Linked DNA regions of Mus musculus. The protein of the gene in region 1 interacts with the protein of each later gene in a pairwise test. Links are inferred from orthologs where the notes say so. Each region holds a gene or a part of one and is shown in the gene's direction. Other genes may lie near its edges.

Region 1 (3,964 bases):
TTTTCTGCTCATCAGGAAAGCATTTGCCTAGATGAAAGAAAAAGGGCAAAGATGTTACTAGGGGAAATGCATATATAAAAGCAGAAGTAGCCAGAGAAGACCAGGAGAACCAGTAGATATGTTTTGTAATTTTAAGATTTTATGTGCATAAATGGTTTGCCTACATGTATACATGAGCACCATGTATGTGCCTGGTGCCCAAGATCGTTAGCTTCTGTTCTAGCTACCTTAAGTTCATCTGCTGTAGTAGTTCTGGGTCCAGATTTGGTGGGGAAGCATTCCTGCCCTGAAGTCTGATGACTACACTACAAAACCTAGACAAAATAGATCTACATTGATCATTTTAACAACTATTTCCAGAGTGCCCTCAACATTTTCTATCAATTCTGCACTCTGTCCACCATATTTAAATGTCAGGAACAGTTTGGGATCAAGAAGCTATGACACGAAGAAAACACTATGTAAAACGAAGACGCTGCCCTCTTGACTACACTTTACTATCCCTAAGAACCAAACGCCGTGCAAAGGAAAACTGGATAATCCAATTAGTCATTCATCTATACTGGAACAAGAAACATCTTTCCCTTCTCAGCCAAAGGCAAAAAGTCAAAATCAACGAAAAGCAAACGTCCTAAGAACCGCAGCACTAATGAACGACCATGGTGAGTCAGAGGAGAGGAGATGGCTGTGGCGTCTTCTTTGAGAAGGGTCTTTGCAGTTTCCCCTACTGCGACCCATTTCTGGTGGCTCAGTCAATCCACAAGTTCCTTTTCCTTGGAGTGAAGGAAGCAATCGCCTCATGGTGACAGGCACATTTAGGACCCTGTGGTTATCCGGGATGGGAAAGTCCTCCCTATGGTGAAGCGGAGCCTGATTCTTCAGAAACCGACCTAGAGAACTCTGAAACCCCGTGGGTCTCCCGAGTGTGGCAGGAACGCAGCCTAGCGCCTGCCATACCGCGTGGGGACCGCCAGTCTTGGGTCCTTCTGGCCTCCAGCGCACTGTCACACGCGGCACTCCCCACCCACCCGTCTACCCACTCTCAGGTCTCTTTTTCTGAGCTCTCAGGTAAGCAGGACTTCTTGGCTCGGCCTCCTAAGGTGACGTAACCCAGGAGAGGCCCGCCCCTCCCGTGGCGTGACGTCATCATGCCGCGCGGTCGCCGTACTCCGAGACTGGAGTTTACCACGGAGACTGCTCCGCAGCGGCTGGTCCGGGCGGCAGCGGCGGCGCTCCGGCTGCTCAGCCGCCTGGGAGCCCGGCGCCTAGCACCTCGGCTCGGACGGCCCAGGAGCCCTGGTGAGTGAGCGCGGCCCTGACACACGGCCTTTCCCTCTGCCCTCAGCCGGGGGCGCGGCCTTCCCCCAACCCGGGTACCCCCCCCAGCCCGGGTCGGTAGGAGATGAGCTGGGGCGCTGCAGGCATAGCGCTGCCTTCTCGGCTTCTCCGGAGCAGCTGCCGCCTGCCCCGGGAGAAGGTTTAACCTGGGAGGAAAGAATTCAGCTGAGAAACAGTAAGGGGACGTTTATTTAGTAAAGCTACACACTCCAAAGATTGGAGTGGGCTTCCTCCGAAGGTAGGCAGTAGCGCATTGGGGTTTTAAAGAAGTTTCTTAAGAATATTAGTGAGGTGTAAGGTATATTCATGCATGAAGGTAAGATAATTCCCTTTCCCTCCCAAATTATAGTGGTCTTCACCTCCTCTTGTAAGGCATTTATCCCCAGCAATCTTGAAAAAAAAAAAAAAAAGCAAGGTATGGGGTGGGAGATTTGGAAACTCCAACACATTGTAATGAAGCCAGTGCCTTTTGAGAATGCAGACCCTTTAACGCGGTTTTGGCAATTTGTTAAGTATCGTTTGCCTTGGTGGAACATCCCAAATACAGTTTTACAGATTTTGACCATGGGAACCTTAGTGTAGTCCCTGCTTAACCGGGAGACACAGCTACCAAGATACTGTTGCAGCTTCCATGATTACCGCATATCTAACTCCTTGCCTACCTAGGTCTCCCTAATACTTGATGGTAAGCTTGGTGTTCTTAGGGGAGAACTCCTTTCTCTCTCTCTCTCTCTCTCTCTCTCTCTCTCTCTCTCTCTCTCTCTCTCTCTCTCTCTCATTGCCTTTTTTCTTCCTTCTAGAATGATTTAGAATGGAACCCCTCTATTTACATATTAGCTGTTCTAGAATGTGTAGTTTTTGAATGGTGAATATATGGTCAGGCTTTGTGCTAGGAGGAAAGTTGCAGCCCTGAGGTTACTGTCATTTATGAAACAAATCTTAAAGTTTAATCACAGGCTGGGCCTTGTGCTAGAACACTAGGAAATCTTCATAATCTTCAGCTCCTGAGAATTCAGCAAATCCCCAGTTTCTTGCATCTCATAGTTTGAAACTATGTTAGCTTAAGCAAACCTTTTAAAAACAAAAAGCATTTACTTTAGCAAGTTGTCTCAGTTTTTGGTTAAATACATGTTGCAGAGTTTGGGGGGGGGGGGGAGTGTCCAGAGTCCTTTTGAAGGAGCTACTGAACAAAAGATGACAATGTAGAATCTCAGTTTTAATCTTAGGAAATTAGGATTGTAGACTTTAGATGAATAGTTTCTTTTTTCTTTGGTTCATTTTAGAAAGTTTTGCATCCTCAAAGGACAGTTTTCATAAGCACCTTCATTGCATCCCCTAGAAAGTGTTCTGAGGAGGAAAATCCCAGGGAGAATCTGAGGCAGGTGGATCTCTGTGAGTTCAAGGCCAGCCCAGTCTACAGAGTAAGATTCAGGATAGCTGGGGCTACCCAGAGAAACCTTGTCTCAAAAAAAAAAAACAAAAACAAAAACAAAACAAAACATAGATACCAAAATCTGAGTGTGCTGGTCTTCTTTGTTTACTTTGTTTCTTTGAAACAAAAGTCTCTTTATGGAGCCCTGGCTGGCCTGGAGCTCATTATGTAGACCAGGGTGAGCTCCAACTTGCAGAAATCTACCTTTGTCTCCTGAATGCTTGGCTTGCATATACCACCACACCTGGCTCTGAAGTCATGTAGAGTTAAATGCATAGTATTTGCATATACCACTTACATACCCTATCAAGACAAGTTCTGGATTACTTATCACATCTAAAACAGTACAGTTATTTACTGTATTTGTGTTGGCTAGTTTTATATCTGTGACAAAAGCTATGGTCATCTGAGAGGAGAGAGCCTTGATTAAGATAATGCCTGCAGAAGATTGGGCTGCAAGCAGTTAAGCTGGTAGGGCATTTTTTAAATTAGTGATTGGTCGGGAGGGGCTTCTCTCACTGTGCCATTCATGGACTGCAGGCCTCTGTAAGAAAGTAGACTGAGCTAGCTGATTGGTGGTGATGCACACCTTTAGCCCCAGCTCTTGGAAGGCAAAGGGAATCAGATCTCTGTTCCAAGCCAGCCTGGTCTACAGAGTAAGTTCCAGGACAGCCAGGACTACACAGAGAAACCCTGTCTCAAAAAGAAAAAAACCAAAATCAAAACAAAGAAAAGAAAGTAGAAAGGAAGGAAGGAAGAAAAGAAAGAAAAGGAAATTGAGCAAGAGAGAGAGAGAAGGAAATTGAGCAAGCCATGAGGAGCAAGTCAGTAAGCTACCCTGACCCTGTAGCATCATCCCTACCTTATCTCCTGGAATATTAGTTCCCATCTCTGTTCCAGTCACTAGACTGTGACTCAGGATATGTAAGACAAATAACCCTTTCCTCCCAGGTTGCTTTTTGGTCACGATGTTTTATCACAGCGTAATAACGCTAAGATAGTATTCACTAGGAAAAATGATAAAAATCTGCACATGTTCAAAATCAGTTCTTTAGTTTTTAATATTTTGCTCTTTACTGGGTTGAATCCAAAGATATAGAATGTTAAGTTTGGAGAAAGAAGAGGTAACCTTTACTGGGGTCGGTGTTGGCCAGATTGTGGTGGTGCCAGGGTCAAAAGTGCTCTGTATTTGTG
Region 2 (3,933 bases), on another chromosome or scaffold:
GGCTTGGTGGCCCACACCTTTAACCCTAGCACTCGGGAGGCAGAGGCAGGTGGATTTCTGAGTTCGAGGCCAGCCTGGTCTACAAAGTGAGTTCCAGGACAGCCAGGGCTATACAGAGAAACTCTGTCTCGAAAAACCAAAAAAAAAAAATTCTGAGAGTTGTGGCTTGCTTTTGTTTTTCTAGCACCCGAGAGAGAGAGAGAGAGAGAGAGAGAGAGAGAGAGAGAGAGATATGGGATGACTGCTTTTCATCCAAAGTCAACCCAAGTCATACTGGTAGATTGTCTCAAAAACATCAAAACCAAAAATGAATTCACTTAGTTACCCAGAACAATGACATGAAACTATAACTGCACCATCTGCTGAACACATTGAAACCCTGTCTCTTATCTTTCTACAAAAAAAGAACCACAGGCTGTGGTTCTAGCAGCTGGCAACATTGAAGCCCAGGGCTGGGACTCAGCAGAACTTCCTCCTTTTGTTCTCTGAGGCCTTTTTTTGTTTGTTTGTTTTTGTTGTTATTTTCCGAGTCAGAGACAGGGCTGGTCTGTGTGGCTCTGGCTGTCTTGGAACTCACTATGCAGACCATGCTGGTTTCAAACTCAGAGATTCACCTGCCTCTGCCTCCTGAGTTCAGGGACTAAAGGTGTTGTGCCATCATGACAGAGCTCTCTCTGAGGTTTTATGTAGGGTTCCCTAAGAAGCTAATATTGTCTTTAAATTCTGATTCTCTTCCTCCATTTCCAAAATGCTAGGTTACAGACAAGTCTACCCATCAAGCAGGCACTTGGTGCACATACACTGAGGCAAAACACTCATACACATTAAAAAAAAAAATCTTAAAATTTAAGCAAAACAACAACAAAAAAAAACAGTGAGAGTTTATCTCGTTGGCTCAGGTCCTTGCTTGGAGCTGACCCCGCCTCGGTCCCGCCCTAAGGAGCATTTCCGCTGCGTCTCCGTATTTCACCTGTATGTATTTCACAACGCAATGTTTTCTCCCTAAGGCTCCGCCTGGCGGCCAGCGCAACGGTTTCCTCCTTGTTTAGTTGGACCACAGCGATTGACAAGTCAGTTCTCCAATCATCGTGTCAAAGTGATCACATAATTATTAACTAGGTCACAGGGGCGGTGCGGAAGTATAGAATGAATAGGAGTGACCAGGAAGTGCGAACCCAGACTGAGAAGGAGGACAGGAGCGGGCTGGCGATCTGGGAAGGTGACAGGGCATCTGGCCTCCCAAATTCCATCTCTCCTCTTAGCTGGGCCAGGGATCCATTTATTCCTGAGAACTAAGAACTCCATTTGCTCTTTGGGGGTTGTGTGTGTGTTCTAAGAGTTTTGGGACCTGGAGTGTCTTTCTTGATATTCAGGATGGGATTATTTGTTTGTTTATTTATTTATTTTTATTTATTTGTTTATTTTAGCTTCACTTCAGGGGTGCCCCCGGGGCGAGCAGGGAGTTTAGGTCCCATCTCACACTACGGATGCTTAAAGGCCTCCGGTCCCTTTCCAGGGAGAGGGAAATGAGACTTCTCCATCCAGGTGAGATAGTGAAAGTGGGAGGGGCCCTGGGAAGAGAGTTCCTGTGATTTAAATCCTGGGCTAGAGTAGGCTATGAGGATGCGGGAAAGAAAAAGGGAACTTTTTTTTTTGTTTTGTTTTTGTTTGTTTGTTTGTTTTTGTTATTTCGAGACAGGGTTTCTCTGTATAGCTCCAGCTGTCCTGGAACTTACTTTGTAGACCAGGCTGGCCTCATTCGCCTGCCTCTGCCTCCCAAGTGCTGGTATTAAAGGTGTGCACCCCCACGCCCAGCAGGGAACTTTTTTTCATTTCCTTTTGTTTTGGGTTTGACACAGGGTAGCTCTAGCTGTCCTGTAACTCTTTTTCGACCAGGCTGGTCTGGAACTCAGAGATCCACCTGCCTCTGTTTCCAGAGTGCAGCCCATTTTTAAGTGGAGGTTTATCTGTGAGAGTCTTGGTAGGGTGGAGGCTGTAGGGTGGGGCTCGGGTTCTCGAAAATCCTCCTCCCTTCCTGGAACCTTCAGACTTTGCCTGGTTTACTTCCTAGGCTTGAGCTAACATCTCGACATGTGGAATCCTAATGCTGGTAAGTTCCTGGGGGCTCTCCTCTGACCTGCCCCAGCCCATTTTGCAATGAAACAGGAAGTTTCTATCTATCCCCGCAGCCCCAAGCAAAAGCAAAGCCACCGGACCACTGCTAGTTACCAAGTTCTGCCTTTCCATAAGGCTTAAGAACGGTAGTGATTTGTATTATGTGTTGATAGAGGTTCCGGACAGTTCTAATCTTTATTCTCGGATTCTTCTTCCAGGACCGAATCCATATCCACCCCAAGTTGTGTGCCCAGGAGGTTCCAATCCTGCCTGTCCACCACCTCTCAATCCTGCCTTTCCCCCTGGCCCCTGTCCTCCCGGAATTCCCCAGGGAAACCCAGCTTTCCCTCCGTGTCGTCCCCCTTATCCTGTACCACAACCAGGGTGTCCAGGATACCAACCCTCAGGTCCCTACCCTCCCCCATACCCACCACCTGCTCCTGGCATGTGCCCCGTGAATCCTCCGGCTCCTGGCATGGTGGGTCCCGGAATCGTGATAGACAAGAAGACTCGGAAGAAAATGAAGAAAGCTCATAAGAAGTCGCACAAGCATCACAAGCACGGGAAGGTCAGTGTCATCTGGAGCCTGGCTGGGGAAGGAGCTCCGTTCAGAGGGACCAGGGGTGATCAGGAGTTGGGGAAGGACTTTCACGGTTTGTGGGCACAGGCGATGGTGTGTGGGAGCGGTAGCCCGCAACCTTGTCGCTTTAGCAGATGTAGATGGTTTTTCCTTTAAGTAAGGGGATCCTCCTGAAAGGAGTTTAGTAATATTGAGGCATCAGATCACTCCCATCTGCCAAGGAAAAGTGAAGGGGTGCGGGGAGGATTTCTGTGCCAAAAGCCCTCGACCTTCTTTACCTAACTCTTTCCCAGTAACTTCCCTCACCCACCCCGGGTGTATCCTTTGGTAAATTGGACACACCCACTGAGGTTGTCTAAATGTCAAAAGAGTGACAAAGCACAGTGACAAAGCATAATAGTTTACTGAGTGGTCATATGGCCCTTAGTTCCTGGATTTTCTTTATCTCCTTCAGTATTCCCTGGTACTGAGTTAATTCCCTGGACGAGCCTTCTGTGACTCAGCCTCCAGCAAAGCCTGGGGTGAAAGGGGATTTTCCTTCACAAGACCAGTACAGTCCTTCCACAGGAACCCATTAGTGAGGGGGGGAGTTCCCCTGAGGACTCAGGAAGACCTCAGTCTGAAACTTGAGGCTTCGAATAGACTTTATGCCCGTGTTTGTTTGCTCCGTGGATCTGGGCTCTAGTTCCTGAGTCTGGGTCTTAGGTAGACATGTGGGGAGTAGGGAAGGAAATGAGACACTAACCAGGGAGAGTACCCCGAGAGTCTAAAAACATTTTTTTTTTTTTTACGGTAGTTGATGGAGGTATGTCTGTGTGGATCCTGGGATGGGATTTCTCCAGCCATCTGTCTGTCTCTGCCATCTTCCCCACTTTTTCCCCTAGTGGGACTTAGAAATACAGCATGGCCCACACGGTGGCCGTTCCTACCCTCCCTGAGGTGCAGAGAGATTCTAGTTTGTCATTCTTTTTTTTTTTTTTTTTTTTTTTTTTTTTTCAACACAGGGTTTCTCTGTATAGCCCTGGCTGTCCTGGAACTCACTTTGTAGACCAGGTTGGCCTTGAACTCAAGAAATCCGCCGGCCTCTGCCTCTGGGTTTAAAGGCGTGCGCCACCACCTGGCTAGTTTGTCATTCCTTAAAACAAACAAGGAGGGATGATTAAGGTAGCAGCAGCCTCCCACACCCTGCTCCACTTTCCTGGTCCTAGCTAGGTGTGGAAACTTGGTTGGAAGGCAAT
Region 3 (3,500 bases), on another chromosome or scaffold:
TGGAACGCACAGGAGGCATTGGGGACTCTCGACCCCCCTCCTTCCAGTAAGTGTGTCTTGAAGGTGGGAATGGCCCATGAGCAAAGGGCAGCTCAGTTCAACCCAGGGCTGGGGAAGGGAGCCCCCAGCCTTCTCTCTTCTCCACCAAGTCCTCTCTACCCTTTAGCCCTCATGCTAGTGGGGGCAGCCAGGAGAATCTGGACAATGACACGGAGACCGACTCCTTGGTGTCTGCCCAACGAGAGCGGCCCCGACGGAGGGATGGCCCGGAGCACGGTGTGTATGCCCACTTCCAGCTCCTCTCGGCAGATTCCAGCTAGCTTCCCGCCTCTTTACCCTACTTCCCGAGTTATGGCTATGCCTGGGCCCTGTTCAGGCCCTGGCTTGCCTGCCTCATATCCCTTGTTCCCTGCATTGAGCCTTGTATGGACCCAGCTGCCTATCTCCCTTGCAGCAGCCCGACTCAATGGAACCACAAAGGGTGAGCGGCGACGGGAGCCAGGCGGCTATGACAGTTCATCTACCCTCATGAGCAGCGAGCTGGAGACTACCAGTTTCTTTGATTCCGATGAGGATGATTCCACCAGCAGGTGGGGTTTGATTTTCCTAGGTACAGGGATGGGAGTGAGGCGGGAAGTGACCAATGAGGCAGCTGGTTCTTCACCGCTGGTGGGATGTGGCCATTGTGAGGGGACCAGGGCTCTACTGTGCCTTTTATGAGGCAAGGATGGGCCAGCCTGGTGGGGAACGACTTTGGACCCCACAGGTTCAGCAGCTCCACAGAACAGAGCAGTGCCTCACGCCTCATGAGAAGACACAAGCGGCGGCGGCGGAAGCAGAAGGTCTCCCGGATTGAGCGGGTATGGGCTCTCGGATGTTCAGGGACTGAGCAGGAGGTTAGACTGTGAGTCCTTCCTAGGCAGGACCACAGCTCTTTTCTTCTTCAGAGCCCTTCTGCTCGGTTCAGTGTTTGTGGGACCCCTCCTCCCCACCCCCTGTACCCCCTGCTGCTCACAGACACCCTCTCTTCCAGTCCTCGTCTTTCAGCAGCATCACAGACTCCACTATGTCTCTCAACATCATCACCGTCACTCTCAACATGGGTGAGTCTGGGGGACACTGCCAAATGCCCATGCTGGGAAAGACAACATACGTGTTCTGGGGTTTGGAGTGGGAGCTCAGCAGTATAGTACAAGGCTCTGGGTTCCATATGCAATACAGGGAGAAAAAGATATGTTTCCTCTTCTGCAGTTATGCTCTGTAAATACTGACTGAGACATCATGTAACCATTTCAGTATTTCAGAGTCAGAGCTGTAACAGGTAAACCAAACTGTGAGAACAGAGCATGGCACCCTGGGAGGCTTCCTGGGGGAGGAGTCCCTGCTCACCTTGCCATTACATACATCTGTACTCTCTGACTTCTGACTTTTTAAAACACAGCTAGTGCCTGGTAAGATGGCTCAGCAGGTGGGCCTGCCACCCAGCCTGATGACTGGAGTTCAACCCCTAGAACCTGCATGGTAAAAGGAGAAGTTGACTCCTACTAGTTGCCCCCTGAACTATACACACACAAACACACACACACACAGAGAGACAGAGACAGAGACACACACACACATGAGTGCCTTCTACAACAAAACAAATAGATAAGAATGTGATTTTAGCCGGGCGGTGGTGGCGCACGCCTTTAATCCCAGCACTTGGAAGGCAGAGGCAGGCGGATTTCTGAGTTCAAGGCCAGCCTGGTTTACAGAGTGAGTTCCAGGACAGTCAGGGCTACACAGAGAAACCCTGTCTTGAAAAAAAAATAAACCCAAAAAAAAAAAAAAAAAAGAATGTGGTTTTAAAAAATGTAAAGGCAGCTAAATATAACTGGAAGAACTTTAACTTGGAACTTAAATCTGAGTTTACTTCCTGCTGCTTGCTGTCTTAGAAAGGTCGCTTAGGTCTTACCTATGTGTAAAGTGTTCAGAATCTCTGCCTCACAACCAGTAGGGAAATTAAAAGCATGTCAACGTGTACACTGTACAGTAATGTTTATGTGGTCAGTGATATCAGTCAGTTATTGCCCCTTTCTGCCCTGTACTAACAAGGGGCTGGGAATTTGGGTAGGAACCCCACCCTTCTCAAGGTGTTAAATTATTCCCTGCAGAAAAGTATAACTTCTTGGGCATCTCCATTGTGGGCCAAAGCAATGAGCGAGGTGATGGGGGCATCTACATTGGCTCCATCATGAAGGGTGGGGCTGTGGCAGCTGATGGACGCATTGAGCCAGGAGATATGCTACTGCAGGTATCGTCGACTACCCTGGGTGGGAGGAGAGTAAGGAGTTCCTGTGGTCTGGAGGGAAACCCTCAACCCAGCTCCCCTGTCCATCTCCTGAGCACTCCATTTCCTCACTCCTAGCCCTCTTTCTCAGGTAAATGAGATCAACTTCGAGAACATGAGCAACGATGACGCAGTCCGAGTCCTTCGGGAGATTGTGCACAAGCCAGGGTATGAGTGGATGGGGTTCTAGGGAAGGTGGGCAAAGGCGTCTCTGGCCGGAGACTTGGTCTGGCCTTCATACATCCTGCCTTTATGAGGACAACCTTGTTTTCAGGCCCATCACTCTGACTGTAGCCAAGTGCTGGGACCCAAGTCCTCGCGGCTGCTTCACATTACCCCGGAGTAAGTAAACAGGGCTCATCCGTAAAGTCGGTGTGGGCTGTGTAAGCTCTACGCCTTCTCTCTTCTCCTTACGTGGATGGGCGGCCTGTGACTCCTCACCCTCCCTGCAGGCGAGCCCATCCGTCCCATTGACCCTGCAGCCTGGGTCTCTCACACGGCAGCCATGACAGGCACCTTCCCCGCCTATGGCATGAGCCCCTCCTTAAGCACCATCACCTCTACCAGCTCCTCCATCACCAGCTCCATCCCTGATACAGAGCGTGAGTATCCAAGCCTGTCCCTCGGACCCGGCAGACAAGGCCAGGTGGGAGGATTGATGAGGACCCGCTTGTGCATCGGGGAGAGCCTTTGAGGGGGCTCTACTCATTCCAGAGACCTCACTCCACAGCCCTTCCCCAGAGGGCACTCAGCCTCCCTGAACATGGTTTGCTTCTTAATGTACGGTGAGCGCCCACAGAGCCTCAGTTTCCTCTCATACAATGGGGCTACCAGTATATCCTTCGCCAGACTTCTCTGGGGCTTGACAAGAGGCTCTAACTCAGTGGTACTGTGTGGCATGGAGGAACCCCTCGGTTTTCCTGTCGTGCATGTGCTTAGGTAGCTGCATGAAGTCATTGAGTTATTCTCATGTGTCCTTGTGAAGGCACTAATCTATTCACTTTTACAGGAGGGAAAACTGTTCAAGGAGCTGACACTGGGCTTGTCACTGTTGAGTGGGAGAACTAGGATGCCACTCCTGTTTTCCCAACTCCACAGTGCCTCTTTGTCTCACTACTCTGCCCCTTCCCCCAGGCCTAGATGATTTCCACCTCTCCATCCACAGTGACAT
Region 4 (2,064 bases), on another chromosome or scaffold:
TGCACTATGCATGCATGGAGCATGAGTATGTGTGTGTGAATGTATGTATGTCTTTGTGAGAGTATACATTTGTATGTTAATGTCTATATGTGTGTGTGTGTGTGTGTGTGTCTGTGTGTGTGTGTTGGCATGCATTCCACAATGGATGTGTGGAGGTCAGAGGTTAACCTGTGGGAACTGGTTCTCTCAACATGTCGGTCCTTGGGATCGAACTCCACTTATGAGGCTTGCTTGGGAGCAAACTCCTTTACCCACTGAGTCATCTCATTAGTTCAGGACCTGCATCTTTAAAAGAACTATTCAGTACACCAAGCTGAGAAGAGTGTCAAACCCAGTCGGGGCAGCAGGTGGCAGAGCTACCCTAGCAGCGACAATCACCAGAGAAATCTCACCTAGGAGCTTGGGAGATGCTGGAGTCTGTAGCAACCCTGTGGGTCACCTCAGCCACTGTGTCAATAAAAGAAGACAAAGGAGTCAGCTCCAGAGGAATGACACCTGAGGTTGTACTCTGGCCTACACACACACACACACACACACACACACACACACACACACACACATTTGCATGCACATTTCCACACACACATGCACATATACACACATACACATAAACAAAAACAGTAATAACGAAACCCACCAAAAAGACCAAATGATTTTAAGAAGGAAGGGGAGGTGTGAAAGAGGAGGGCAAAATCAAACCCTGGTGGCTGTGAGCATCTTTGTGTCTTGGTTTCCAGCCGCATGGCATGTTGACAATTAGATTAAATGGCAGGATGGTTGTGGGGCCAGAGAAAGTCGTAAGTACCACAAAAGCGGTTTTCCATGACTGCGACCTTTGTCGCTTATTACATCGGCTCATTGTGGTCCTGCTCTCGATTGTGACCATAACAGCATCTCTCTGACCTTCTCACAGAAGCAGGTGGCAGGAGAAGGAAGCCAAGCTCAGAAGGACAGTCACTCGTGTCCTGAGGTGTGATGTGACCAAGACACCCCCGCTGGGGTCAGCTCAGGTGCCTCTGGCTGACTGCGTGCTGACCTTTCTGGCCATGGAGTGTGCCTGCCCTGATATAGATACCTACCGGGCAGCCTTGCGCAGACTGGCCGGCCTGCTGAAACCAGGAGGGCACCTGGTGACCCTGGTTACTCTGCGCTTCCAGCACTATATGGTGGGCCCCAAGAAGTTCTCTGGGGTCTACCTAGAGAAGGAGGTGGTGGAGAAGGCTATTCAAGATGCTGGCTGTCAGGTGCTGAAGTGCAACTGCGTCTCCCTCAGCTACTCGGAGGCTTACTGCTCCCACGACGGTTTGTGCTTTGTGGTGGCCCGGAAGGGTCCCAGTGCCTGAGGCCACTGGCAGCGAATCGCCTTCCCTGGGAAAGTTATAGCAATCATTTGTAAAGCCTTGCTCCACAGCTTTCTAACACGGACCATGTTGCTTCTATCTAATACCTGGTCACAGTCACAAGGGAAAACCCAAGGTTCTCTATTTTCAGCACCAACATCCATCCCCTTTGCTCTTATTGTACCCTGTTGAAAGTTCATTTTAAAATAAAGTGGCCTATCTGGATTCTGTCTTGGGATGCCTTCTCTCAACAAAAGACAAGGGTTTGGCTGACAAACATTTATCTAAGAGCAGGTGCTATGAACACAAATGCTGGCACAGGACAGAGGCCAGGAGAAAGGCTGGTGCTCTGTGTACTGCAAAGCCCTTCCCTCTGAGGCAGCTGGAGCTGGGGCCAATGTTGGGGCCCGCAGGTGGTGTCACCTACCTACTGAGGGAGCTAGCCATGCCTACTAGCTTCCCTCACAGTGGCCAGAGGCAGCTCTTGAGGGTCTCTTGTCTCAGCAGCTTCAGCAGACTTGCAGGTGCCAACCACAGTCAGTCTGGTCACCATGCCCTGGTTCAGAACAGGGATGTCAATGTGTGCAATGTGCTAGCTGGGGTGGAGAGCTTCCGGGTTCCTTGACCCTTCTGTGGGAGGCCTGGGGGACTGTTCAAGTGACCCAGAAGTATTGTATTTTCTGGCTAAGGAAAAGTGCTTGCTTCTGTTTTCAATGGTTATTTA
Region 5 (3,500 bases), on another chromosome or scaffold:
ATGCATTGGTGTCTGGGCATAACTCCGCCCACAGGGCCCGCCCCTAACTGTTGTACCTTCCGCAGAGAATGGCTACGTGCGGCTGCTGGAGACACTGGGAGATGTAGAAATTGCTGAGCTGCACCGGAGTCGGACGCTGCGGGTGGTGTTCGAGGCTTATCCGATGCCTTCTGTCCTGTGGCTCAAGGACAACCGTACCTTGGGTGACTCCGGCGCTGGCGAGTTAGTTTTGTCTACTCGCAACATGTCTGAGACCCGGTGAGCACCAGTTAGTCCACTTATGTTGGAAGCTTCAAAGCTGCCAGGCAGCCTGGGGCCTTCAGTCACCAACAAACCTAGGACCTTCTTGTCTGAGAGCCTGTTGTGTGATGGACACATGCCAGGTACTAGGTATGATGCTCCTGCAGGAGCAACGCAGGCTGCTCTGCTCCTCCTAGTGGGGGTAGCAGACACTGACGACTTGGCCACTCAGAGGTTTAGTTAACCTTGTGATGAACAGAACCAGCAGGTAATGGCCAAAAGCAAAAACACCGGATAGGAAGAGGATTTCCCCAAGGCTAGAGATCTGCAGACAGGCAAGAATGTGCCCCTCTGATGGGGATAAGCTTTTGAGAGATGGGTATACACCCTGGCCCTTCCCAAGCCTTCCTGGTAGTTTAGGGGAACTGGCCGTGGCTGAGGACTCAGGAGACTGAGTGGATCCTGACTCTGCTGTTATCCCTTGCGCGACCTTGCTGCGTGACCTTGGCAAGGGTATCCCTCCCCTTGGCATTCTACAGGAAGGCGAGGATGCTTTAGGGGTTCCTGCAGTTCTGATCGCAGGTCCCCTGGCCTGGCCTGCTCCGCAGGTACGTGTCAGAACTGATCCTGGTACGTGTGAAGGTGTCAGAAGCGGGCTACTATACTATGCGAGCCTTCCACGAGGACGATGAGGTCCAGCTCTCCTTCAAGCTGCAGGTCAATGGTAAGGGCCACCTCCCTTTCCCTCTCTCCCCTCCCTCCCTCCTCCATCTCTCTTCCTTCCTTCTCTGCCCATCCACCCACAGGGGAGGCTGGACAAAGGGCCCGGAACCCACGAGGCTACATTTTAGACGGTTGATCTGGCATGTTCCCTCTCTGGGCCTCAGTTTCCCCAGATGTAGAAGGTGACTGTCAGACTGTACTGGAGCGCCCCCAAATCTGGGCCATTTATGTATTGATGGTACAATTTTACTTCTCACACACAATCTCTACTCTGCTGAGTGGTTTCAATATGGCAGTCTGTTCAGAGTTCTACCTGCTATGATTTGCATCCTCATAGGGGAAGAGAAATAGAAAAGGAGGAGTTTCCACAGAAAACGAAGAAAGGTTAGAAAGTAACATGAAACTGTAGTGGGTGGGGAAGGAGATAGATGGATAGATAGATAGATAGATAGATAGATAAGATAGATGATAGATAAATAGATAGGTAATAGATAAGTTAAATGATAGGCAGTTGATCTGGCACATCCCCTCTCTGGGGATGTAGATGATTGATAGATAGATAATAGATAGATGATTGATAGATAGATGATAGAAAGATGATAGGTAAATGATAGATACAAAGATGATAGATAATAGACTGATGATGGATAGATAATAGATAAATTATAGATAGATGATAGATAGATAGATAGATAGATAGATGATCAGGGTTAGCCTTGTTCTGCAGGTGACATTTGTGAGACTTGAAGGAGGGAGGGCATTGGACAAGTGGGTATTAGTGGAAAGGACACTCCAGATCATGTGTCACCCCTTGTCACATTGCCAGAGAAATAGGAGGAAGTTGGGTGTGGCCAGATCAGAGGGCGCTGGCATATATGGGGGGGCATGAGGTTAGGGCAGAAATGGAGGGGTTGGAGGGGGTAGTCGTTGGGTAAGAGCTTGTGGCTCGGTATAGACTACAGCTCCATACAAGGCGGCTTTGGCTTCTGTTGGGACTGACAGGAAGGGCTATGACAGGGACTGGAGCAGAGAAGGACATGATAACCACTTAATGTTTTGTCAATTCGCTTTCTAAAAATAAATGTATTTTGAAAGACAAATTTAGCATCTCAATTGTAGATGGAAACTCAGTGTCATATGCCATAAATATAAAAAACACTCAAATACATTCAGAGAAAACAAAACAGTGCCTAGCTTCATGGGCTTGGCTGCCCCGGCTCCTGGCCTGTTCTCTCTTTGAAGAGCAGTTCTCAGAGGGATGTTAAAGACTGACTCTGAGCCTTGCCCTTTGATGTGCCCCAAAGGAACCTGTCACTTTCACACTGGGACTCCTAGTGTCTGAGGCTCACCTGCCATCCCCTGCCTGGGGGGAGGGAGGTCAGGACAAAGAGGACAGGACACTCTGGAGGGCATCCTCCTGACAGCCTTTCCAGTGCTCTGTTCTGATCACCTCACTTCCTGATCCTGCTCTCTGATTGTCCAGTCCCCGTCCGTGTGCTGGAGCTGAGTGAGAGTCACCCTGCCAATGGGGAGCAGACAATCCGCTGTCGTGGCCGGGGCATGCCTCAGCCAAATGTCACCTGGTCTACCTGCAGAGACCTCAAAAGGTGAGCACACCTTGACGCCAAGCCTCCCACAATAGACACAGCTGCCTAGAATGCACAGGTAGGGTAATCTAGACCGGCCTCTGCACCTGAGAGGTCTAAGCCACATCTTAGACCAGTCCTCTGCCTTCCGGGAGATACCGTGACTAACCTAAATTTCTCCTTTTCTTACTGAGCCATCCTCAACCCAGGAAGGAGCAGGGTCTGGCTCCCAGAGGTGTCTAATTCACCCAGTGAATGTTTTGTACCTTTGACCAGAGCTAGATGTAATATAGTGTATAGAGTTCAGGGTTTGCCTTTCTATCCTTGAAGGTCCAATAGGCAAATTTTGCCGTTTAGGAGTCTCAGTTCTAGAGTGGGAGCGCCCTCTGCTGGTTGATCTAGGCAGCACAGTAGGAACCTGCTTAAGGAGCAAGCACTGGGAAATCAAGCCTATTCTTTGGACCCTGCTTCAAGTCTTACTTTCCCTCATTTGCAGAGGGGAAATTAAGAGAGCCTGCAAGCCAGTCCTTTTGTGTTTCCTAGTAGGTGTCCACGAAAACTGTCACCCACACCCTTGGGGAATAGTTCCAAGGAGGAGAGCCAGCTAGAAACGAATGTGACTTTCTGGGAGGAAGATCAGGAATACGAGGTGGTGAGCACACTGCGCCTGCGCCACGTGGATCAGCCACTGTCCGTACGCTGCATGCTGCAGAACTCCATGGGTGGAGATTCGCAGGAGGTCACCGTGGTCCCACATTGTGAGTGCCCCACCTGTGGATGGCTCTGATGACTCTCACCCCTTCCTTGATCCCGCCGTACTGAGCCTGAATCCCCAAAGCAGGCCAAGTCGGCATACTCACAAGCCCATGGGAACATTACAAAAACCTACCAGAGTACGTTCCTATGCACACACGCAAAATATGACGTCGGCCCAGGTGCACAAACACAACT
Region 6 (4,294 bases), on another chromosome or scaffold:
CCCTGCACTGGGTGGTGGTGGGGGGAACATTGTCCTTATGAGTTCCAGGCAATTCAGGGTAACAGTGAGACAGCATGTAAAAGTCTCATCATACAATGCTTACTGGAAGTCTCATCAGTACTGGCATCTAAGAATAAGTGGGGAAGAATGCAGAGAGAGAAAAACTTAACCGTTCAACTCCCTTGGCGGTGGGCCTTTCAATCCCCTTTCTTTTTCTTCCTTCTTTTCTTTTCTATTTTATTTTATTTTATTTTATTTATTTTATTTTATTTGTTTGTTTTTGAGACAGGGTTTCTCTGTGTAGCCCTGGCTGTCCTTGAACTCACTTTGTAGACCAGGCTGGCCTCGAACTCAGAAATCCGCCTGCCTCTGCCTCCCAAGTGCTGGGATTAAAGGTGTGCACCACCACGCCCGGCTTTTCTTTTCCTTTTTTAAAGATTTATTTATTTTATGTATGTGAGTACACTGTCGCTGTCTTCAGACACACCAGAAGAGGGTGTCAGATCTCATTACGGATGGTTGTGAGCCACCATGTAGTTGCTGGGAATTGAACTCAGGACCTCTGGAAGAGCAGACAGTGCTCTTCATCTCTTGAGCCATCTCTCCATTCCCTTGGTCCCTTCTTAAAGTCTTGTCCTTTAATCTGATCCGCAAGGCACCCGTTCTCTTTTCTTTCTTTTTTTCTACAAAGCTCTTAAAAAGCAGCAGAAATGTCTCAAAACCAAAAAATGCAATAGAATTTTTTTTTATCCTTAAACATGGCACTCCCTCGGAGATCTCAATAAACAGGATGCTCAAAGTCTGCAAAGAGCCCAACCGGCCTAATCCCGCCAGGAACTAGAGTCGGGCACAAGCAAACACAGCCCGCGGAACGCCACCAGCCGTCCACGAAAAAGAGTGGCTTCCGGAAGAACAGAAATGATGGGAGGACCAGAGGTCTTGCAGAGTTTTAGGTAGTTAGAATTGTGCCTGTAAACGTCTCTGACCATCAAGATGGGACGTTGATTAACGAGGTGCACTCCACACAAGTCTCACAATTTTTCTCGAGGAAATTACAGCATCTCACTCAGTCATTTTTCTTTAGGCGTTTCCAGTAGCCACCCCGGTCCGGTTGCACTCTGGCGCGCGCAGGGAAGAAACGCACATAGCCGGAGGGGGGCGGGGAAGTACTTAGAGTGTGCGCACGCGTGGCGCCGCTCACGCAGGCGCAGTGCGGTCCCCCGGGCGACGACGGCGGCGGCGGCGGCTCCTCCGGGTGGTCGGCTCCCTCCCATCTCGGCCGGCCCGGGCCCGTCTCGCCCCCCAGAAACTCACTGTTCGGGGCTGTGGACTTTCTCATCGTGCCCCACGAAAGTAAATCGGGGGAGACTGGGGGAGCCGGAAGTACCGCCTCGAGATCCCCCCAAATACGATCGGGGAAACGGAAGTGGCCCTTGGTGCCAGGTTGGGGGAGACCGGAAGTGACGGTACCGTGGGGACGTCGGGGGCGGAGCCACAGGGTGGTGGGCTGTGTATGTGTGTTTGTATGTGTTTGGTCGCGTGTTGGTTAAGTCGTGTTGCTGGAATACCGAGGAGAGGCGGAGGCGGAAGGCGGGGGCGGTCAGCGAGCCCGTCCAGCCTCCCGTGAGTGTCCGCGGTCTTGGGTCGGTGGTGATTTAGGCGGGTTCGATTGTGGTGCTGCGCGTGCGCGAAGCCACTTTTCTCTGCCGAGTCTAGCGCGACCCTCCCCCCACCCCTCGCGTTGTCCTAGGATTTCCCGATCTCTCGGGCGCTTGCTCGGTCGCGACCGGTGATGACACTGGCCTCTGGTCGGTCTCGTGCTTGCTTCCCTGATTCCTAGCCCAACTGGCTCTCCCTATTGTGATTGGCATGGTGGAGCCCCTCCCACCTCTCGTCCTTCATCTCCCTATGCCGTCGATCTCCTACCCTTTGTGTTTCTGTTCCTGTGCCCCCGAATCAAAAAGGGGGGATGAGAAGGAGGATGAATATATCTGCTTGTGTATGAGAAACTTTGAAGGGATTGGGGCGGAGATTGGGTCCAGAGAGGCTTCCGGGTGTATAAAATACAGTGCGACCGACAGCGAACCCCCCCCCCTCGTTCTTCTTTAGAGAGCTGTCGGCCATGGAGCCGAGTGATAGTGCCAGTACCGCTATGGAGGAGCCTGACAGCCTGGAGGTACTGGTGAAGACCCTGGACTCTCAGACTCGGACTTTTATTGTGGGGGCCCAGGTGAGACACCAGTACTTTGTAGAAGGATGCGCCTGATTTTCTTGTCATTGACTCTTTTGTCCCTTACTGGATAGGACATCTGATGTACCTATTGAGTGAGGGGATGTGGTTACTGTTGAGTGAGGCCGATTTGGAGTCTGTCTTCACTTTGACAGAACTCAGTGAAGAGGAAAGTAGAGAGGAGGGATCTATACCTGTTCTGTGCAGACCCCAGCCCAAAGAGACAGACATGACTCTGGCCTTTGGGACCAGACACAACACAGGGGGCACCTTGGACAAGAATGGTGTGTCACAGGGACCTCAGACAAGTTTGGTGTGGGTTTTTTTTTTTTTTTTTTAAACAGAGTGTTCACAGCTTGGTACTATTTTTATAAGATTAAGGAAACCTGCTTTCATCCACTGTGAAGTAGACTTGTCAATAGCTGAGGCATGGTTTGAGCCTCCTGACCTTAGTGCACTGTGGCCACTGCATAATTCTTTGAGACAACCACCATGAGGAGGTCATTTTTGTGGTTTTTAAAGCAGATATTTAAAAAGCCACATAGACTTTTGTCTGTAGGTACATGTGATAGTTAATTTGGCCCTACCAAGAATTACTTAATGTCTTTCCGGGAGGTGGGCACAGGATCTCCTATAGCCCAGGCTAACTTTGGCCTCTGACCACTGTGCCTTCGTCGTCTATGTGGTCGTCTATGTGCTAGGATTATATGCACTATAACAGAGGACCACATCTGACTTGGCTTGGTCCTTTTTTTCTTACATAGTGAAATGTCTTAGAACTGATGGTCTTGTACTCATGATCCTCCTGTCTCTGCTTTCCAAGCTTGGAATTTCAGTTGTATGCTATTGCTATTTTTGGTTTGTTTGTTCTTTTTTTCCACCTTCCCTTATTTTTATTTATTTATTTATTGCATGTATGTGGTTCTGATGGGTACTGAACCTTGGACCTAGCACAGAGCACTTACTACTGAACCGTATATTGTGTGTTCCTTTCTGACCTTTGTTAGTTATCTTTCCAGACCCTGCCTCCCAACCCCATGGTGGTAATGGTTGTTTTGGGTTGTGTGTATTTTTGGTTTCTTTTAGAAGATTGTATTTGTTTTTATTTTATATGTGAGTGCTTTCTCTGGAAATACACATGTGCACCTTGTGTGCACTTGGTGCCTGAGAAGGTCAGACTCTGCAACCTGTGGCCTTTTCTTCATGTGGAAGTTAGGAAACTATAGCCCCAAACTATAGCCCCTACTTTGTTACAGATGGTTGTAACAACCTCGAACTCAGAAATCCGCCTGCCTCTGCCTCCGGAGTGCTGGGATTAAAGGCGTGCGCCACCACGCCCTGCTTGCTTCATTTTGTGTTTTAAGTCAGGGTTTCACTTTGCAGTCATGGCTGTCCTGGTAGTCAGATCCACCTAGCTCTGTATCCTTGAGATTAGTGGCTGTGCCAGTGCCTGTCTATCTGCATTCAGCTTTGAGATTATGGCCTTGAACACCTGCTATTGTTTTAGTTTAGAAAAGGATCACTGGTATCTCTAGATACTGGATAGCAGAGAGGGAGAAAGGGAGAGCTATTCGGCTTCTTTCGTATAGGTTTTAGTTATTTACTGTTGTTGTGATTTGGATTTTTTTTTAAATTAATTTAATCTCTGTACATTGGTCTGACTATTTTAGAACTCACTACGTAAAGCAGGCAGGCCTCAAACTCACAAGAGATCCACCTGCTTCTGCCTCTCAAATGCTGGAGGCATACACACCACGTCCCACTTATTTTTAATTATGTATTGGTATGTGTCTCTGCCTCTGGGTACAAACGCTCATAGAAGCCAGAGACACTGAGTCTCCTAAAGCTGTGTTTACCAGTAGTTGTGAGCTGCTGCCCAACGTGGATGTTGGAAATTGAACTGGAGTCCTCTGCAAGACCAGTATGAGCTCTTAATCACCGAGCCATTTCTCTAGCCACACTCTTTTATTTATTTATTTATTTATTTATTTATTTATGGACATAATAAATATCGGCCTGTTGATATAGTTGGCTAGTGAGACTGTCTGATTTTGATGTTGGCAT
Region 7 (3,500 bases), on another chromosome or scaffold:
GACTCACCTGACCTTTCTCCTTGCTCTCTGCCCTCTCACCTCAGTGTCAATCGGAGGTCACGGGCTAGGTAAGCTGCTTGCTGGGGCCACTCCCAATGCCCCTACTGCCCAGAGAGGCAGTTTCCTTTCCTCTTCATTGCTAATTCATTCCCAGGACAGTTCCAGCTGCAGCTCTAGGCAAGGACAGAGTTGGGGAGGCTGTGAAGACAAGGCCGTGGGCTGGAGGGTCAGGGCCCAGGGAGGTTTCTGGAGCTAAGCATGAGCGCTCTGGTTCTCCCCTCTCTGGGCCTCCATTTCCCCATCTGAGAACTTGGGTTGCAGCTGAGAGCTTTGGGGTGAAGTATATCCTAGGAGGCACCTCAATGGGGATTTTGGGGTCTGGGGATCTTGGCACCCCAGGGAAGCACCTGGGGATGGGCAGCAGGTGCTTCCTTCTCACAAGGGCTCCTGTATGGGCTCCTGCATGGGCTCAGGGGACAAGGTGGTTTCCTCCACCCACTGGGAGTCTAGCCCTTGTCAGATCCACAGACTTCCATCCCCGCCTCCCAGGGGCCTCTGTGTCCTGGGCTGGGGGAGGTGCATGAGTGGGTGGGGCTGGGTGGTGGTACAGTAGTGCCAGTGTCAACTGCTTGGGTGGCCAGCATGGCAGGGCCTGGCCCAGCCTCAGAGCTCCAAAGTGCATTCTGCGACCAATCTTTTTTCCTTCTTTCTTCCCATTCCCCCAGCAATGATGTTAGACAGTCCCTATCAGGCAGGTTTGTCTGCCCTAAGACAAAGACATCCTAGGAATACTGATATGAGACTACAACTACTTGCAGACTTCTGAAGGCTATCAGACAGGCATTTGGGTAGATGGCCAAGGACAGGATTTAAGATAGCTAGGTTTTTGTGGCAAAGGCTAGATTATTTTGTAGAATAGTTTATGGGGTTGAAGATGGCATATATGTGTACACAGGGGAGGACAGAATTAGGCCAGGAACTTGGAGTGGCCTCAATTTTCTTGGCCATTATGTGTGGAATGGAGTCAGGGCGCCCAGCCAGGGAACTTAAATCATCTTTGGGTAAGCCAGAAGGTTGTCTTGGGCCCGGTCAGTGGCTATTGGGACATTAAGCAGTAGCCCAATTAGCAGGTGTACTTTGAGGATGCTATGGTCAAGACTTGCTGATCACCTGGAGCTTGGGTACAGAAATGAGAAATCAAGAAGCTTTCAGAAGGCCCAAATCATTAGCTAGATGATACAGGGCAGGCATAAAGGAAGTTCATGGCAGCATGGGCAGCAGGCAACTAGGGTAATAGCTGAAGTTGCTATCTGAGTCTCATGTAGCCAGTGTGAGACCAAGGTCGAAAAGGGGGCTTGGTGGCAGGCTGGCAAGGGGGCCCCTTAAACTTGGTCCTCATATAAGTTTGGTGTTCCTAGCTGCTTTCCTTGTGGGAGGCTGGGCTGCAGGGGTGCTCTGGCTGCCAGGCCTTACAATCCACAGCTCCCAAGCCTCCACAGCTGAGCCCCAGATCATAACATTACTGTCCTTTCTCTTTTCTTGGGCACTATGGGGCCCTAGAGGCTGCTCAGATGCTCTACCCTTGCAACCCTGCAGTGGTGGCTTGGGACTCCTGTCTCCTGTTCCTTGGGTGCTGCCACTGCTTTGCCAAGCCTGCTGTGATGCACTGCTAACCCTTCTACTTCCCTGCTGCTTGCTCTTGCCTGTGCCAGGCTGTGCTATGCTGCCTCTCATTGCAAGCCTCTGGTTGAGCAAGCGTTCTCAGTTGTCAGGAGACTCCAGTTTCACCTTCAGGCCTCGGGGTTGGGTAGGGAGGAAAGTTTCACATCCCCCACACTGCAGCAGGACTCTGCCTCACTTCATCCACACATAGCACTGGGGCCCAGGGCCAGACCACGGGTGTAGGTAGCCATGGGCCTGGCCAGAGTGCCGGTATAAGTTAGCATAGGCCATGATACCAGCTGAGGCTGAGTTGGCAGAGGAGGTAGCAGTAAATGCTTGTGCTGGGATTGGATGGTCCCTTACTTGTCTTCCCAGGTATCTGGGTACCACTTGTTGGTCTTCTCTCATAAAGGGGCTTGAGGTGGTCAGGAGAATCCTTCCTGCCTTCTGAGAAACCACTCACCATCGTAGCTTGGGGTATGGGTTGGGCTAGAGATTGGGGCTGGCTGTGCTTGGTTGTAGCAGTAAGAGGCCTGGATGGGTAGCAAGCTGATGGGGGTAGCCAAAATGTTCGGCTCACCTGCTGGCTCCCCTCTGGGGATTCACTCTGCTTTACCAGGTGCTGGCATTGGCCCCACCATCCAGATTGGGGAGGAGACGGTGATTACTGTGGACACAAAAGCAGCAGGCAAAGGCAAAGTGACTTGTACTGTGTGCACACCTGATGGCTCAGAGGTAGACGTGGACGTGGTGGAGAATGAGGATGGCACCTTTGACATCTTCTACACAGCTCCCCAACCGGGCAAATATGTCATCTGTGTGCGCTTCGGTGGCGAGCATGTGCCCAACAGCCCCTTCCAAGTTACAGTGAGAAGAGGCCAAGGATGGGTGGGCAGGGAGATCTGGGAAAGTCCTAGCCTGTCCTTCCAGGTCCCTTTGTGACAACAGTCTCCAACCCTCTCACTTTGCCCCACAGGCTTTGGCTGGGGACCAACCAACAGTGCAGACCCCATTAAGGTCTCAGCAGCTGGCTCCACAGTATAACTATCCTCAGGGTAGCCAGCAAACCTGGGTAAGGCCTGGGCCTGGTCTATTATTCAATTTGTCTAACCCATAGGGACACTTGAAGCTGGCCACCTGGATGTCTCATGTGGCCCTGAGAAACCCCATATCTTCTCATAGCCCCTCACCTGATTCTTCTGTCTCTATTGCAGATTCCAGAGAGGCCCATGGTGGGCGTTAATGGGCTGGATGTGACCAGCCTGAGGCCCTTTGATCTTGTCATCCCCTTCACTATCAAGAAGGGGGAGATCACTGGTGAGTGAGGGCTAGGAAGAAACTTGGAAACTAGTGATGGCCAGGGTGTTCCAATCTCCTGGCCTGACATTGAAACCACTGCTCTGTAGGGGAAGTTCGAATGCCCTCAGGCAAGGTGGCCCAGCCTTCCATTACTGATAACAAAGATGGCACTGTTACTGTACGTTACTCACCCAGTGAAGCTGGCCTGCATGAAATGGACATTCGCTATGACAATATGCATATCCCAGGTGGGTGTATTGCCTCTTGTCCACTCCATCCTAGGCCCGTGTTGCTATCATCTCAGGAAGAACAGGCTAGGGCTGGGTTATAGGTCAGTTAGTAGAGCCTAGCATGCATCAGGCTCTGAATAAACTAGGTATCATGGCACATGCCTGTAATCATAGCCCTCGAGGCAGGAGGATCAGTGGTTCAAGGTCATCCTTAGCTTCATAGTAAGTTCAAAGCCAGCCAGAGAAACATAAAGACCCTGTTTCAAAAACAGAACCAAAATGACTAACAAATGAATGAGTCTGGTATTC

The links.
Region 2: the proteins of Klhl12 (region 1) and Prr13 interact in binary tests that used the Homo sapiens proteins (3 or more experiments, as listed by UniProt). The two-hybrid records come from large-scale screens. The link is inferred for Mus musculus from reciprocal best matches to the Homo sapiens genes KLHL12 and PRR13.
Region 3: the proteins of Klhl12 (region 1) and Dvl3 interact in binary tests that used the Homo sapiens proteins (3 or more experiments, as listed by UniProt). The two-hybrid records come from large-scale screens. The link is inferred for Mus musculus from reciprocal best matches to the Homo sapiens genes KLHL12 and DVL3.
Region 4: the proteins of Klhl12 (region 1) and Inmt interact in binary tests that used the Homo sapiens proteins (3 or more experiments, as listed by UniProt). The two-hybrid records come from large-scale screens. The link is inferred for Mus musculus from reciprocal best matches to the Homo sapiens genes KLHL12 and INMT.
Region 5: the proteins of Klhl12 (region 1) and Pdgfrb interact in binary tests that used the Homo sapiens proteins (3 or more experiments, as listed by UniProt). The two-hybrid records come from large-scale screens. The link is inferred for Mus musculus from reciprocal best matches to the Homo sapiens genes KLHL12 and PDGFRB.
Region 6: the proteins of Klhl12 (region 1) and Bag6 interact in binary tests that used the Homo sapiens proteins (3 or more experiments, as listed by UniProt). The two-hybrid records come from large-scale screens. The link is inferred for Mus musculus from reciprocal best matches to the Homo sapiens genes KLHL12 and BAG6.
Region 7: the proteins of Klhl12 (region 1) and Flna interact in binary tests that used the Homo sapiens proteins (3 or more experiments, as listed by UniProt). The two-hybrid records come from large-scale screens. The link is inferred for Mus musculus from reciprocal best matches to the Homo sapiens genes KLHL12 and FLNA.

Annotation. Positions count from the first base shown.
Region 1 is NC_000067.6:134,454,367-134,458,330, forward strand, and holds the start of Klhl12 (kelch-like protein 12), read left to right. Parts: upstream 1-1,164; 5' UTR 1,165-1,299; intron 1,300-3,964. UniProt on the Homo sapiens protein: Substrate-specific adapter of a BCR (BTB-CUL3-RBX1) E3 ubiquitin ligase complex that acts as a negative regulator of Wnt signaling pathway and ER-Golgi transport.
Region 2 is NC_000081.6:102,458,037-102,461,969, forward strand, and holds the start of Prr13 (proline-rich protein 13), read left to right. Parts: upstream 1-1,133; 5' UTR 1,134-1,219; intron 1,220-1,427; exon of another isoform or gene 1,428-1,545; intron 1,546-2,071; 5' UTR 2,072-2,091; coding exon 2,092-2,110; intron 2,111-2,333; coding exon 2,334-2,683; intron 2,684-3,933. UniProt on the Homo sapiens protein: Negatively regulates TSP1 expression at the level of transcription. This down-regulation was shown to reduce taxane-induced apoptosis.
Region 3 is NC_000082.6:20,523,486-20,526,985, forward strand, and holds part of Dvl3 (segment polarity protein dishevelled homolog DVL-3), read left to right. Parts: coding exon 1-46; intron 47-166; coding exon 167-276; intron 277-454; coding exon 455-590; intron 591-766; coding exon 767-860; intron 861-1,033; coding exon 1,034-1,103; intron 1,104-2,153; coding exon 2,154-2,293; intron 2,294-2,420; coding exon 2,421-2,497; intron 2,498-2,603; coding exon 2,604-2,671; intron 2,672-2,781; coding exon 2,782-2,931; intron 2,932-3,463; coding exon 3,464-3,500. UniProt on the Homo sapiens protein: Involved in the signal transduction pathway mediated by multiple Wnt genes.
Region 4 is NC_000072.6:55,170,127-55,172,190, reverse strand, and holds the end of Inmt (indolethylamine N-methyltransferase), read left to right. Parts: intron 1-913; coding exon 914-1,343; 3' UTR 1,344-1,564; downstream 1,565-2,064. UniProt on the Homo sapiens protein: Functions as a thioether S-methyltransferase and is active with a variety of thioethers and the corresponding selenium and tellurium compounds, including 3-methylthiopropionaldehyde, dimethyl selenide, dimethyl telluride, 2-methylthioethylamine, 2-methylthioethanol, methyl-n-propyl sulfide and diethyl sulfide.
Region 5 is NC_000084.6:61,065,650-61,069,149, forward strand, and holds part of Pdgfrb (platelet-derived growth factor receptor beta isoform 2 precursor), read left to right. Parts: intron 1-65; coding exon 66-258; intron 259-848; coding exon 849-964; intron 965-2,446; coding exon 2,447-2,570; intron 2,571-3,092; coding exon of another isoform or gene 3,093-3,095; coding exon 3,096-3,307; intron 3,308-3,500. UniProt on the Homo sapiens protein: Tyrosine-protein kinase that acts as a cell-surface receptor for homodimeric PDGFB and PDGFD and for heterodimers formed by PDGFA and PDGFB, and plays an essential role in the regulation of embryonic development, cell proliferation, survival, differentiation, chemotaxis and migration.
Region 6 is NC_000083.6:35,134,006-35,138,299, forward strand, and holds the start of Bag6 (large proline-rich protein BAG6), read left to right. Parts: upstream 1-1,494; 5' UTR 1,495-1,513; coding exon of another isoform or gene 1,514-1,623; intron 1,624-1,642; exon of another isoform or gene 1,643-1,999; intron 2,000-2,109; coding exon of another isoform or gene 2,110-2,122; coding exon 2,123-2,230; intron 2,231-4,294. UniProt on the Homo sapiens protein: ATP-independent molecular chaperone preventing the aggregation of misfolded and hydrophobic patches-containing proteins.
Region 7 is NC_000086.7:74,229,535-74,233,034, reverse strand, and holds part of Flna (filamin-A), read left to right. Parts: intron 1-44; coding exon of another isoform or gene 45-68; intron 69-2,281; coding exon 2,282-2,529; intron 2,530-2,638; coding exon 2,639-2,734; intron 2,735-2,876; coding exon 2,877-2,979; intron 2,980-3,068; coding exon 3,069-3,209; intron 3,210-3,500. UniProt on the Homo sapiens protein: Promotes orthogonal branching of actin filaments and links actin filaments to membrane glycoproteins. Anchors various transmembrane proteins to the actin cytoskeleton and serves as a scaffold for a wide range of cytoplasmic signaling proteins.